Linked DNA regions of Mus musculus. The protein of the gene in region 1 interacts with the protein of each later gene in a biochemical or structural test. Links are inferred from orthologs where the notes say so. Each region holds a gene or a part of one and is shown in the gene's direction. Other genes may lie near its edges.

Evidence for each region.
Region 2: the proteins of Tnks (region 1) and Rnf146 form a complex in vitro, tested with the Homo sapiens proteins (3 studies listed by BioGRID and IntAct, with this or other methods). The link is inferred for Mus musculus from reciprocal best matches to the Homo sapiens genes TNKS and RNF146.

What each region holds. Positions count from the first base shown.
Region 1 is NC_000074.6:34,834,913-34,842,531, reverse strand, and holds part of Tnks (poly [ADP-ribose] polymerase tankyrase-1), read left to right. Parts: intron 1-681; coding exon 682-779; intron 780-2,489; coding exon 2,490-2,564; intron 2,565-3,538; coding exon 3,539-3,644; intron 3,645-3,961; coding exon 3,962-4,148; intron 4,149-7,619.
Region 2 is NC_000076.6:29,359,443-29,363,198, reverse strand, and holds the start of Rnf146 (E3 ubiquitin-protein ligase RNF146), read left to right. Parts: upstream 1-1,495; intron 1,496-1,529; coding exon of another isoform or gene 1,530-1,803; intron 1,804-1,853; 5' UTR 1,854-1,914; intron 1,915-3,756. Other genes in the region: Gm30698 (verprolin-like), read right to left, coding at 690-1,495, 1,530-1,803. UniProt on the Homo sapiens protein: E3 ubiquitin-protein ligase that specifically binds poly-ADP-ribosylated (PARsylated) proteins and mediates their ubiquitination and subsequent degradation. May regulate many important biological processes, such as cell survival and DNA damage response.

The sequences.
Region 1 (7,619 bases):
AATCAGACACTTACCCCATGGTTTTTCACAGCCTGGCCTATCTGGCCTTCCCTTGGGCTCTTCTGCTGCCCTCAGGACCACAGTTCAACCATTCCCATCATCCTTTGCTGCCACAGGCCTCCTCTCTTACTTCTGTATTTTCTGTGTATCTCTTTGTTAGACACACTTTCCATAGAGGAGAGAAGCAAAGAGAAGGACCATGTATCTATGGAGCTGATAAAAGTACAGGCAGCCAAAATGGAGAGGGTTTGAATTTGACTTTTTTTTTAAACATTTATTTTAGTCAGCCTTATAAATTAACAGATCAGTTATGTCGGTGACCATTTCAAGCCATTCCTGAAAGTTTTAGAGGGTAGTTCTTGTATCGTAGAACTCATTTTATTGTAGTTCAGCATTGTTTCTCTTCTGCGTAGGCATCACTATGTTCATGGTGGAGTTCAGTTCAGTAGGTCCTGAGCCCTGCTGTGTAGAAAGGGTTCATGGGAGGGGAGAAGCCCCTTACCACTTTCTTTCTTCTTGTGCCTTTGGTATATCTGCTTACAGACTGTATATTGGGGTGGAGATTGAAAATAGTGTAGATTGCTCTGAGCTGTCAGCTATTTATAGCCAAGTTTCCCATAAATGTGTGGAAGCCAAGTGATATGGACATGTGCTTTGTATTCTTGTTTTTCTCTTCTACAGGAACCAATCCATATTTGACTTTTCACTGTGTGAATCAGGGAACTATTTTGCTAGATCTTGCTCCAGAAGATAAAGAATATCAATCAGTAGAAGAAGAGGTAACAGACATCAGAACTTTTTTCTTTGCCCAAGTTCTGTTAAGACTGGTCTTTCCAGGGGAAAGAACTCATCTTACTTTGTTTACAGGGTCACGTGGCCTGCTACTCAGCCGGAGGCAGCAGCCAGCCTTTAAATGTGACTGTAGACTAAAACCATACACATTGCATTTACGTCACAAGCCTATGTGCGAATAGCTCCATATTTTTGTTCTATAGATTTTGTCAGTTTTAAGTCATGTAAGTAAGAACCTTTTTAAAGCATTTTCATACAGTAAAATGCACCTAAGATTGATATGGGGCAAGAATCTTGCTTCATAGACAGAAAACACTTTCTAGGGTTTTTGTTGTTTGTTTGTTTGTTTTGGGGGTTGTTTGTTTATGTAATTAGTGTTTTTTAGTAATGTGCCTGATTGTCACATTTTTCTCATGTTGATTACATGATAAAAGAAGAGTCTATCTCAGTTAATTTCCATAATCAGAATTATTCTAAGCATTATATAATAAGACTACTTTGAACCTCCTTGTAGAAAGATGACATAGACATTCTTCCTGTGAGAGCAGGCGGGAGAGATGGCTCAGCAGTCTGCTCTTCCAGAGGTCCTGAGTTCAATTCCTAGCAACCTCATGGTAGCTCACAACCATCTGTAATGGGAGAGGATGCCCTCTTCTGGTGTGTCTGAGGACAGCGACAGTGTACTCACATAAATCTTTTTTAAAAAAGGAAGAAATTTCCCTTGTGCTGATGGCTTATATTTCTTGCCCCTAATGCAATGTCTAACTCCATTATTGTGATTAAGCTCCCTCATTCCATTATTATACAAACACCAAGCAGACATGGGTTTGCCTGCAGTTAAGGATTTCTTTTGTTTGTTTTGTTTATTTTTTTTAACTAGTGCCCATATCATCTCCATTCAATGCTAGGAAGTCACATTTGGGAGCACAGGATGGTTTCAGTTTGCGTTAGGTTATCAGAAAGATGTTATGACTTCTAGGGCCTTATGGTCTGGTTGTCTCCATAGTAAGTTCTGGTCGTGTAAGATACAGGCTACACATCCTTGCAGATGGAGCCATGGGTAGAGAGCTCAGGTGTCAGAAATTTGGGGCATTTTTGTGATGCTGCCTAGAAACCTAAGGTCTCACACATGCTTAGCAGATGTTCTGCCCATAGCCCAAGACACTAAAGGTTTTTCCATAATAATTATTAAAGTTTGAGAGTGGGAGAGTTTGTAGTGCTCAGAAGGTTATTCTGTTCATTGTGAAGTTTACTCAGCTTCCCTTGCCTGAGTTGCTGTATCAAGATTCCAAAGACTACTGAGATAAAATGAAACAAAAATATTTTTAAAATATTTATTTTTAGCATTTATCTAATGTGGTATCAATTGAATATCATTTTAGTTTGATTTATTCAATTTCTTTTCATTCTTAATTACAAAGTAATTATACATTTTTAAAGTGCTATTATTTTTCAGTTTCCCTGTTATGTCTATAAAAAATATCTTTCAAAATTTGTATCAGAAAATGCTTTCATTAGTATTTATGACTATATTCTCAGTACAAATGCTCATTAAATTTGTTAAAATAAGTTTGTAGTGAGCTCCTGATTGAGACTCAGACTCACCAGGGAAACAGATGGAAGAACTATCTAGAGACCGCAGAAGGAATGCTTTCTTCTGGCTCTGATGGAGTTAATTGTTTCCCTTTGCCCTACAGATGCAGAGCACTATTCGAGAGCACAGAGACGGTGGGAACGCTGGCGGCATCTTCAACAGATACAACGTCATTCGAGTAAGCCTGCTGGTTGTTCTGGGGGAATCGGACTGCAAAACTAACACAGTTAAATGAATTCTAGGAATTTGGGAAGAAAAATTCAGATTGTGAAAGACACTTATTCATTGTCCTAAAATCAAATGCTGTTCTCTTCACTACAACCTCTAACATCAAGACCATCCTGGCTAGAAACCACAGCACAGTGAGACAGCAAAGCCCCGAAGGTCTCATAAAGGCCGCTGGGGTCAGCACCACAGCAGCCCCGCCTGTTATCTCCTCAGATTTGGACCCTCAACAGCAGTAACTTCATTTTAAATCACTTGAAAACTGCATTTTTAAAGATCTGGATTGTCAATCTATTTGTTATTGATGAGATCAGAATGCATTTATCTCTTAAATCACAGGAAAAAAAAACTATGTTGCCATTATCTGCTTTTTCAGAGGTTATCTTGAAGGTTAATTACATCTGCTAAAAACTGGTTTAGTCCTTTCTTAATTGACTTACAATAACCCATGAGCGGTTGGTTGGTTGGTTGGTTGGTTGGTTTGGCTTAGTGATAAAATGCATGCTACACAAACTCTAGGGAGCTGAGTTGGAGCCCCCAGCACTCAGGTACAGCCTAGGCACAGTGGTGTGCACCATTGTCTCAACGCTGGGAGATGGAGGTGGGAGACCCTAAAGCTCCACTGGTCAGTTAGTCTAGCCAGCAGCAAGCCTAGGCTCCGTGAGGGACCCATCTCACATAAGGTGCAGAGTAAGAGCAAGACTCTCAGTGTTGGTTCTGGCTTCACATTCATGGGCACACAGAAAGCAGCAAGGAGACACCACATAACTGTGTCACTAGCATATTAACTGAATTCCACTGATAGGGTGACTTAGATAATGTGTCAGTCAAAAACCCAAAATTGATACCACCAAAGGAAAAACTACATGTCCTTTCAAATCAAAATGTACATTTAATTAAGAACAATATTTTTTGTCCTTTATGAAGATTCAGAAAGTTGTGAATAAGAAGCTGAGGGAGCGATTCTGCCACAGACAAAAGGAGGTGTCTGAGGAGAACCACAACCATCACAATGAGCGCATGCTGTTCCACGGTGAGCGCTGCCTGCATCGGGCTGTCAGCAGTGGGGGAAGACTGGGGTCCGTTGTTGACCTTATGTTGGAATGACTTGTTTGCACTTTTTTGGTTGAAATAATGCCTAATTTCCTAATGCTCTGCATGTTAGCACAGGCTTCCCAAAACCTGTGCCATGCCGGTGACTGTCTGAATTTGCTGCTAAACTCCAGTTCCAAGTTGAGCCACCTGCAGTTTTCTGGTTTTTGTTTTTCTTTGTGAACATTACTAGATTTCAGTGAAAATAGTAAATGGCTAAGTGTTGAAAAACTAATGTTTCCACCTTTATATTTTTAGGTTCTCCTTTCATTAATGCAATTATTCATAAAGGGTTTGATGAGCGACATGCGTACATTGGAGGGATGTTTGGAGCTGGAATTTACTTTGCTGAAAACTCCTCAAAAAGCAATCAGTATGTTTATGGAATTGGAGGAGGAACAGGCTGTCCCACACACAAAGACAGATCATGTTATATATGTCACAGGTGAGCGTCCTGCCTTGACTGCAATGGTTGTCACCCTCAACTAACCTTTGACTATAGCGCTGGGTGCAGTGGTCCAGACTAGATACATATGCGCTCTCTAGGTGGCAGTGGAACTGCATTTCAGTCTCCGTCAGGTGCAGAGACCTCTTAGTGCTCACAGTAGACGGAGCCCTTCTAGCCACTGTCATACATGAACATACAGGGTCAAGGTAGGAGACTAGACTCAAGTCTCATTGCCGATGCGGCTAGTGGTGTGTTTGATTTAAGGGCCATAATAATTCCCCTTGGAAAGCCCAGCCTCAGAATATCAGCTTGGGAATTGGTAGCAAACAGATGAATATCAGCTTTTTAAAGTAGGACTTTGTAATCTCGAAGCTGGAAAAGATGATCATGGCAGCGCGTGAGAAGGCGGTGTTTCTCTTCTCACTGGAGAGCAAGAAGATCGGGATTTAGTGTGGTTTGCAGTCATACACATGCATACTGTATCCAACCCTGAGCCCCCTATACTTACCCCTAATCCCGCCAATGCTTTCCCCTCCCCCTTCATGTCCTTGTGAGTTTTGGAGAGTCTCTCATTTGAGCTGCTGGAATGTGCATGAGTGTGGGTGACTTTCCATACCTGTACCCCTAAAGAAAAATAAACTTCCTCTCCTGACAGCCCTCACTCACCAGGAGCTCCTCCGCTTAGGGGTGCAGCCTTATGCTCCCGACCATGCTGGAGTACGGATGGGCTTGATCTAGTGCAGGTGACCATAGCTGCTGTGACTTCATGACTCTGGTGGCCATGCTATCCTAAGGCCACATGTCACAGCTCCACCCTATCTGCTTGCTCTTCTCTTCTTTCCACCCCGTCCTCCACAATGCTCCTTGAGCCTTGGAGAAGGTTGATGGCAAATGTCCCATTCAGAGCTGAGCACACACAGTTGCTTCTTCTCAGGACTCTGACCAGTTCTATACTGCCTCGACTGCTGCCTCCTACAAATAGCTTCTCTAAGATGGAGAGCAGTGCTGTAGACAGGTATACTCGTAAATAGCTCCATGGCAGTTTTGTACCATGGTCATTTACCAAAGCAACAATAATATATCACCTCCCCTGAGGGGGAGCAGGCAGCCCTTACCGACCATGAGTATTTGACAAGTTTTAGTGCCATACATTGCTGTTTAAGCCACTCAATTGTATGTTTTCATAAGTTATGTGAATAAGGTATCTTATGATTCAGCTAATAACTTAAAATGTAATCTTAAAATCCCTTATAACGAATGCCTTTACATTTATCTGCAGTTGCATTATTCTTTATCTGGTCATCCCAGTTCTAAGATGGATGCCATACGGTCAGAAGGAAACTGTTCTCCACTTAGATCGCTGTGGTTAGAAATTCCTAAGGATAGCGATGCCCCAGCATGCCTCCCATGGAGACAAAGTAAACCTAAAATGAACAACAAAGTGAACTTAGCTGAGGATTAATGGGCGCTCAGTAAAATTAGACACAAGTTTATGTCCTAGCCAGGGTCTCCTAGAAATGGAGCCTGAGCAAACGCCTGCAGCTGGCACGCCATTGGCAAGGGTTGTCCCTGGGAAGCAGGAAGGAGGCAGAGCGCACTCAGCGGTGAGCCCGGGGAGCACGCTGTCCATGGCTGCATTATCAAGTGCATGAGATGCCTTCAGAGACGCTATAGAAACTGCTGTGTCAGAGCAGCAATGCTCCAGGGGAGGAAGGAGTAGATTTCTGTGGCTCCTCCTTGTGTGGGCCAACATTTGCTCCCCAGGTGCTCATCCCTGTGTTTCTTAGTTGTTGCATCTACAAAATACCACAAGCAGGAAGCAAGGCAGCATCTGCACCTGCTCGCTCGCTCGCTTCTTCTTGTGCTGACTGGAGACCAAGGCCTGTCAGGTCAAGTATTGTATAACAGATGGACAGTGACAAAATCTACTTACTGACAGCAGACTGCTGCCATGACAGTAAAGGTGGGCCTGAGGAAGCCTCCTTTGGGGGCTGCAGAGGTGGCTCTGCAGGTAAGAGCACTGTTGCTCTTGCAGTCAGTCTGGGGTCAGTTCCCGCATTCTCATGGTGGCAAACGTCCATCTGTAACTCCAGGTACACGTGTCAGGGAATGCCACTGTCCCTCCTGGCCTTTCTGGGTACTAAGCACATACATACATACATACATACATGTAGGCAGAACAGTCATACAATAGAAAATAAAATAAATAAAGGCTATTCATAATGTAGAGTGAGACCTATCTTTTCCCTACAAGAAAATACACTAGATAGCAAGCCTTTATCCCAAAGGGTCACCAGTGACACCCAGCTAAAAAAGCCAGCGAGGCAGGACTCAGTAATAACACAAAGCTCATACTCCATTACTACAAACTGTTTATATTTAACAGTGTGACTCATTGTACTAAATAGCTAAAATGTGTAGTGTTTCAGGGTTGACTTTTTTTAAAGGAATGGATAATAATTACCTTGGACTTTGCAGCCATGTATCCTTGTCAGAGACTTCTGCCTTTAGAGTGCAGAAGCAACTGTGGAAATGAATGCATGGCTTTAATCAGGAAAATTATATTTAGAAAACCAGGTGCCAGCTGGGCATGGTGGCATACACCTTTAATTCCAGCACTCAGAAGGCAGAGGCAGGGGGATCTCTGTGAGTCTGAGGCCAGGTTGGTCTACAGAGTGAATTCCAGAACAGCCAGAATTACACAGAAAACCTTCTCTTGAAAAACCAAAACCAGAAAAATAAAAGAAAAAACAGGTACCAAGTATTTTTAAACTGGTGGCTATAGTTTATAATTTCCATCTTGCCAGTTTTTCTTATCCTGTACAACATTTAACATCTGCTGCAATTTCAGTTAGGTATTAGATTTTCAGTCATATATTTAAGCTACATATTTTTGTTCCTGGTTCACTTTTCGTATTACTCTGCCATCCCAGTTTTTACTATTTACCCATGATGAGTCAAGCCTAGTCTTATCTGGAGAGATGGCTTAGGGTAAAAACTTTTGCCACACAAGCATGATGGCCTAAGTTTGAGTCCCCATAATCTATATAAACGCCAGGTGCATAGCATGAGTGGTTTGTGAGCCTTAAACTTGCCCAGAGTCCCTGCAAAGCTCTCGGGCCGACCAGTCTGGTTATACACGGGCAGGATCATCAAAGAAGCTCTGTCTCTAACAAGGTAGAAGGCACAGCCAGCATGTGAGACTGTCCTCCTCCCCTTGAGCATGCCACACTTGCGCACACACACACACACATACACACACACACACACACACACACACACACACACACATACACATACACATAGCTTCCTCCCTCTGAGCATGCCACACACACACAGCTCACAGTGTCAATCTCAGGCTCTGTTGCTATCACCTCCCTTTATGCTTGTGTGTCCGTGTAAAAGCTCAGCTCTCAGCAGGGTCTGTTTGTACTTGGCACAGTTCACACCAGGTATTTTCTATGACAG
Region 2 (3,756 bases), on another chromosome or scaffold:
TTAATCCCCCCAACCCCTTCCCTCAATGGTACTAGGGATTGAACCCAGATCCTCAAGTAAGGTGAATCAGCCTCCTACCGCTAGATCCCTTTGAAATTAAGAATATTTTAACATCTGAAGCCTATGAAATAGACCCACATGCTTGCTCACATCGACTCACCTATTCAATGTCTTATCCCTTTCAACGTACATTGATGTACAACCTTTTCTCTTCAGGCTATAAAAGTTCATATAATATTTCCTATAACAACTGAATGAATAACCCGAACCCATGCTCTGGATTTACAGCTATTAATGTTAAGCAGATGAGCTCTTCCTTTGGATCAGTGGCCTTGAAACCCTATAAATAGGTGCACAGTACATTTTTCAGTCCTGAATTCAAACAGTGGATGTAACCTCAAAATGCAACATTGTTGCAAGCACAATGCAAACAGTTACAGAATGCGGAAATACTTTCAAAGGTGAAAAGGTTCTCTGGTCCATTTTGTGCAACTTCAAGTAGAGAAAACTGTTCTGAAAAAGATCATGTGCCGGTTAAAATGAACAAGGACTAGATTTTGATGTGTAACACCATATGCTTGCCATAAAACTAACCCATGAAATTTATTCTAGATTCGCGGGACGATTTCTTCTTCTAGCTTCCTATGCTGTTAGGGTTTAAAAGACACCCCAGCACACCCCCTCTCCCATTACATATCTGGCCATTTGTGAGGTGAATAAATTGGAGCATCTCGGGGACCATCCAGTCCACGCCGTGACTTTTCTTGTGCCTTTTTTGTATAAGGAACAAGCGGTAGTCTCTCCAAGGGCACGGCCAAAGGAAACATAGGACTTGACCCAAGGCTGAGTTTTGGAAAGGCTCTTCTTCCTGGTACTGAAGGTCTAGCTTCCTCCCACAAGCCACCTAGATGGACCTCCACCAGTTCAGAACCAGGAGGCCACAAGATGCGCCACGCAGAGGGTGAGGGAGGACCGGAACAGGGACAAGGAGCAGCCCGGTCGCAGCAAGGGACAGAGAAGAGCAGCAGCCAGCGTGGGGACCGCCAGCCAGGGCCGCCGCGCGCGGGATCACGGTGAGGGGGCGTGGCTTCCGCCGGCGCGGCCCCGCCCCTTGAGCGCCGGGCGGTCACGTGACGGCCGCGCGCGTCCCCGTCCGCTGCGGGCTCCGAAGCGGAGGAGAAAAGACTGCGAGGTGGCTGCGGCGGCGGCCGAGAGGTGGGCTCCGGGCCGGACCGGTGAGGAGCGCGGGGGGCCGTGGGCTGCGGGCCTCGGCGGGGCACTGCGGCTTCGTTGGCTGCGAGGCGGCGCTCGGAGTCCGCGGCGGGCGGCGGCGGGTCGGGGGCCGGTAGGACGGGGACGCCCTTGGCCAGCGCGGCCCGGACGGGCGCGCGGAGGGAGGCCGAGCTGGCGCAGCCCGGACTGTGACGGGCGCGGCCCCGGCCATTACTGCGCAGGCAGGCCAGGCTGCGGGCAGCTCCAGCGGGCTCGACCGGGCCTCAGTCGGCCACGGGCTGCATGCTATCTTCCGCCTGCCCTGCCGCCGCCGCCGCCGCCGCGGCTGTGCCTCTGGGTCTTGCCCAGTGCCCGGAGTCGTCCCCTCCTCCTCGCGCTGGCGGAAGCCGCCGAGCGTTCTTGTTTTGATGGCTCCCCAAACCCGAAACCAGCCTGAGGTGTCGGGATACCAGTTGGGCCTCCCAAGCCGGGTGCATCTTGAGAGCTCCGGCAGTCGCTTTGTTCTGCTTGCTGGATGTGGAGTTTTCTCCTTAACCCTCCACCCCATCTGAGAGCGCACGGGATCCCCATTGTTGTCACTGTCTTATTTTCTGGACTTTTTTTTTTTTTTTTTTTTAAAGAGAAAGGGCTATGTGACATTGTTTTTGAGGATGTGGAAATGGAACCGTCCTCTATAATTAGGTAAGATGTTTCCCCACTGTAAGTTAGCACACGCATTCTGACAACTACATTTTATCTGTGTATGTGTGTGTGTGTGTGTGTGTGTTCTTTTGCAAACTAGATGTGCACCTGGAGCTTGGGCATTGAAAGGCACGTATTGTCATAGAAGTTGAATGCGTAGAACATAACAATAAATGATCTGTATCATTAGACTTTTAAAGAACATGGCATATTAAAGAACAAATTAAGAAAACGACCCACACATACTAGCAGAGCGTGAAAAGCGTCTGGGAGCTGTAGAAACACTTGAAAATAGGTGAAGTAAATCTCATTTTAGAGAAAACTCAAGAGTAACTGCTACAGTAAAGATGGAGTTTTGGATATGTTTGCTTGGGTCTTGGATATCATAGAGTTTATTTATGTCTTAATTGGGCGTGTGTAATGGGGAAAGAATGAAAACCCTGTTATTAAACGTTTGAAAGTTTCTGTTTTGTGCTGTTTAAGAACTGAGTCGAATTGTAGTCATGGGGAAATGTCCCAAATAACTGTTCATTAGATAACAGGAATGCAAACATAAATGATTTTTTTTTTTTTGTAGGAGACATGCCATTTAGTAAAAGTGCCACTTTGAAACTGTTGGAGGGTTTGTTTTGTTTTATTTTTTGGATCCAACATGATTCCTTGACTTTGAAGAAGAAAATAATAGGAAGAATTTTTCATATCCATCTGTTTAAAACATATTTTCTGTCAGCCATATATGAGTTTGAAGGACTTATCACATTTCCCTATCAGTATGAGAGATGGAAGATCCGAGTCTTTTCTACCTCCTTGCTTGGTTGCCTTCTTGATCACAGAGTCTGAACTTGGGTAACTGCTGGGTGGATTAGAAACAGTCTTTTTGAGCATACACACTGTTTACACTAGTCTACAGCTTCCTTTGCTTCTTTGTATACTCTCATTTACCTTTCTAGTTAGTTAATACAAAGCCTGTTGTTAAAGGCCTGCTAATTAAAATGTTTGGAGTTGTCCAATTACAGAGGCTGGCTAGAGCAAAGTAACAAAAGCATAGGGATAACTTGGCAAAGGTCACTCACCAGTTAATAAGAGGACTTTCTTATTTATAGAATGTCTGCCAGCCTGAAACATCTGTTAGATGAGAATACATGTATTACATATAAATATAAATTGACATTTGTATCTCATGAGTTAATGAAATCAATACAACGCCCACTTTGCAGAGAAGGAATTTAAAGCCTTACACTTAAGTATAAGGACGGAGACAAAAGTAAATAGAGTCACAGGATGGGGCTTCTTAAGGGCAGTCATACACAAGGCAAGAAGATCCCTCAAAAGTATGGAACCCCACTTAACTGAACTGGGTTTTGACAGAACACTTATTTCCAAGCTTAACTTAGACTTTTAAAACTGATTTGATGATGAAGTATAAAAATTGACACATTGTAACAGTTACATACTTGTGAATTTGGGAATCTTTCTTAAGAAGTTTTAAGATGTGTTTGTTAAATCCCATCTGACCCCTACTCATTTTTCTTGTGTTTATAATAGAGACATATGTAAGTAAACAGATACACATAATAAGGTTTGTAGTCCCCCTATTGATATGTTTTCTATATAGTGTATTCTGTTTGAGTAACTCTTATTTCATTACACCTTAACTTTAAATAGGATAAGCAGAAAATGTCCAACTGTATATAATTTGACATTTATATTTTTATTTCTATTGTGATATGTTCATCTTTTTTCTTTGATTCGCCTTTTTTTTTCCTTAAAGAAACAATATTTTATTCAAGTTTATTATCTAGGGACGGTGGATCTTTAAAAAGTTTGGCTGGCTTAAAATTA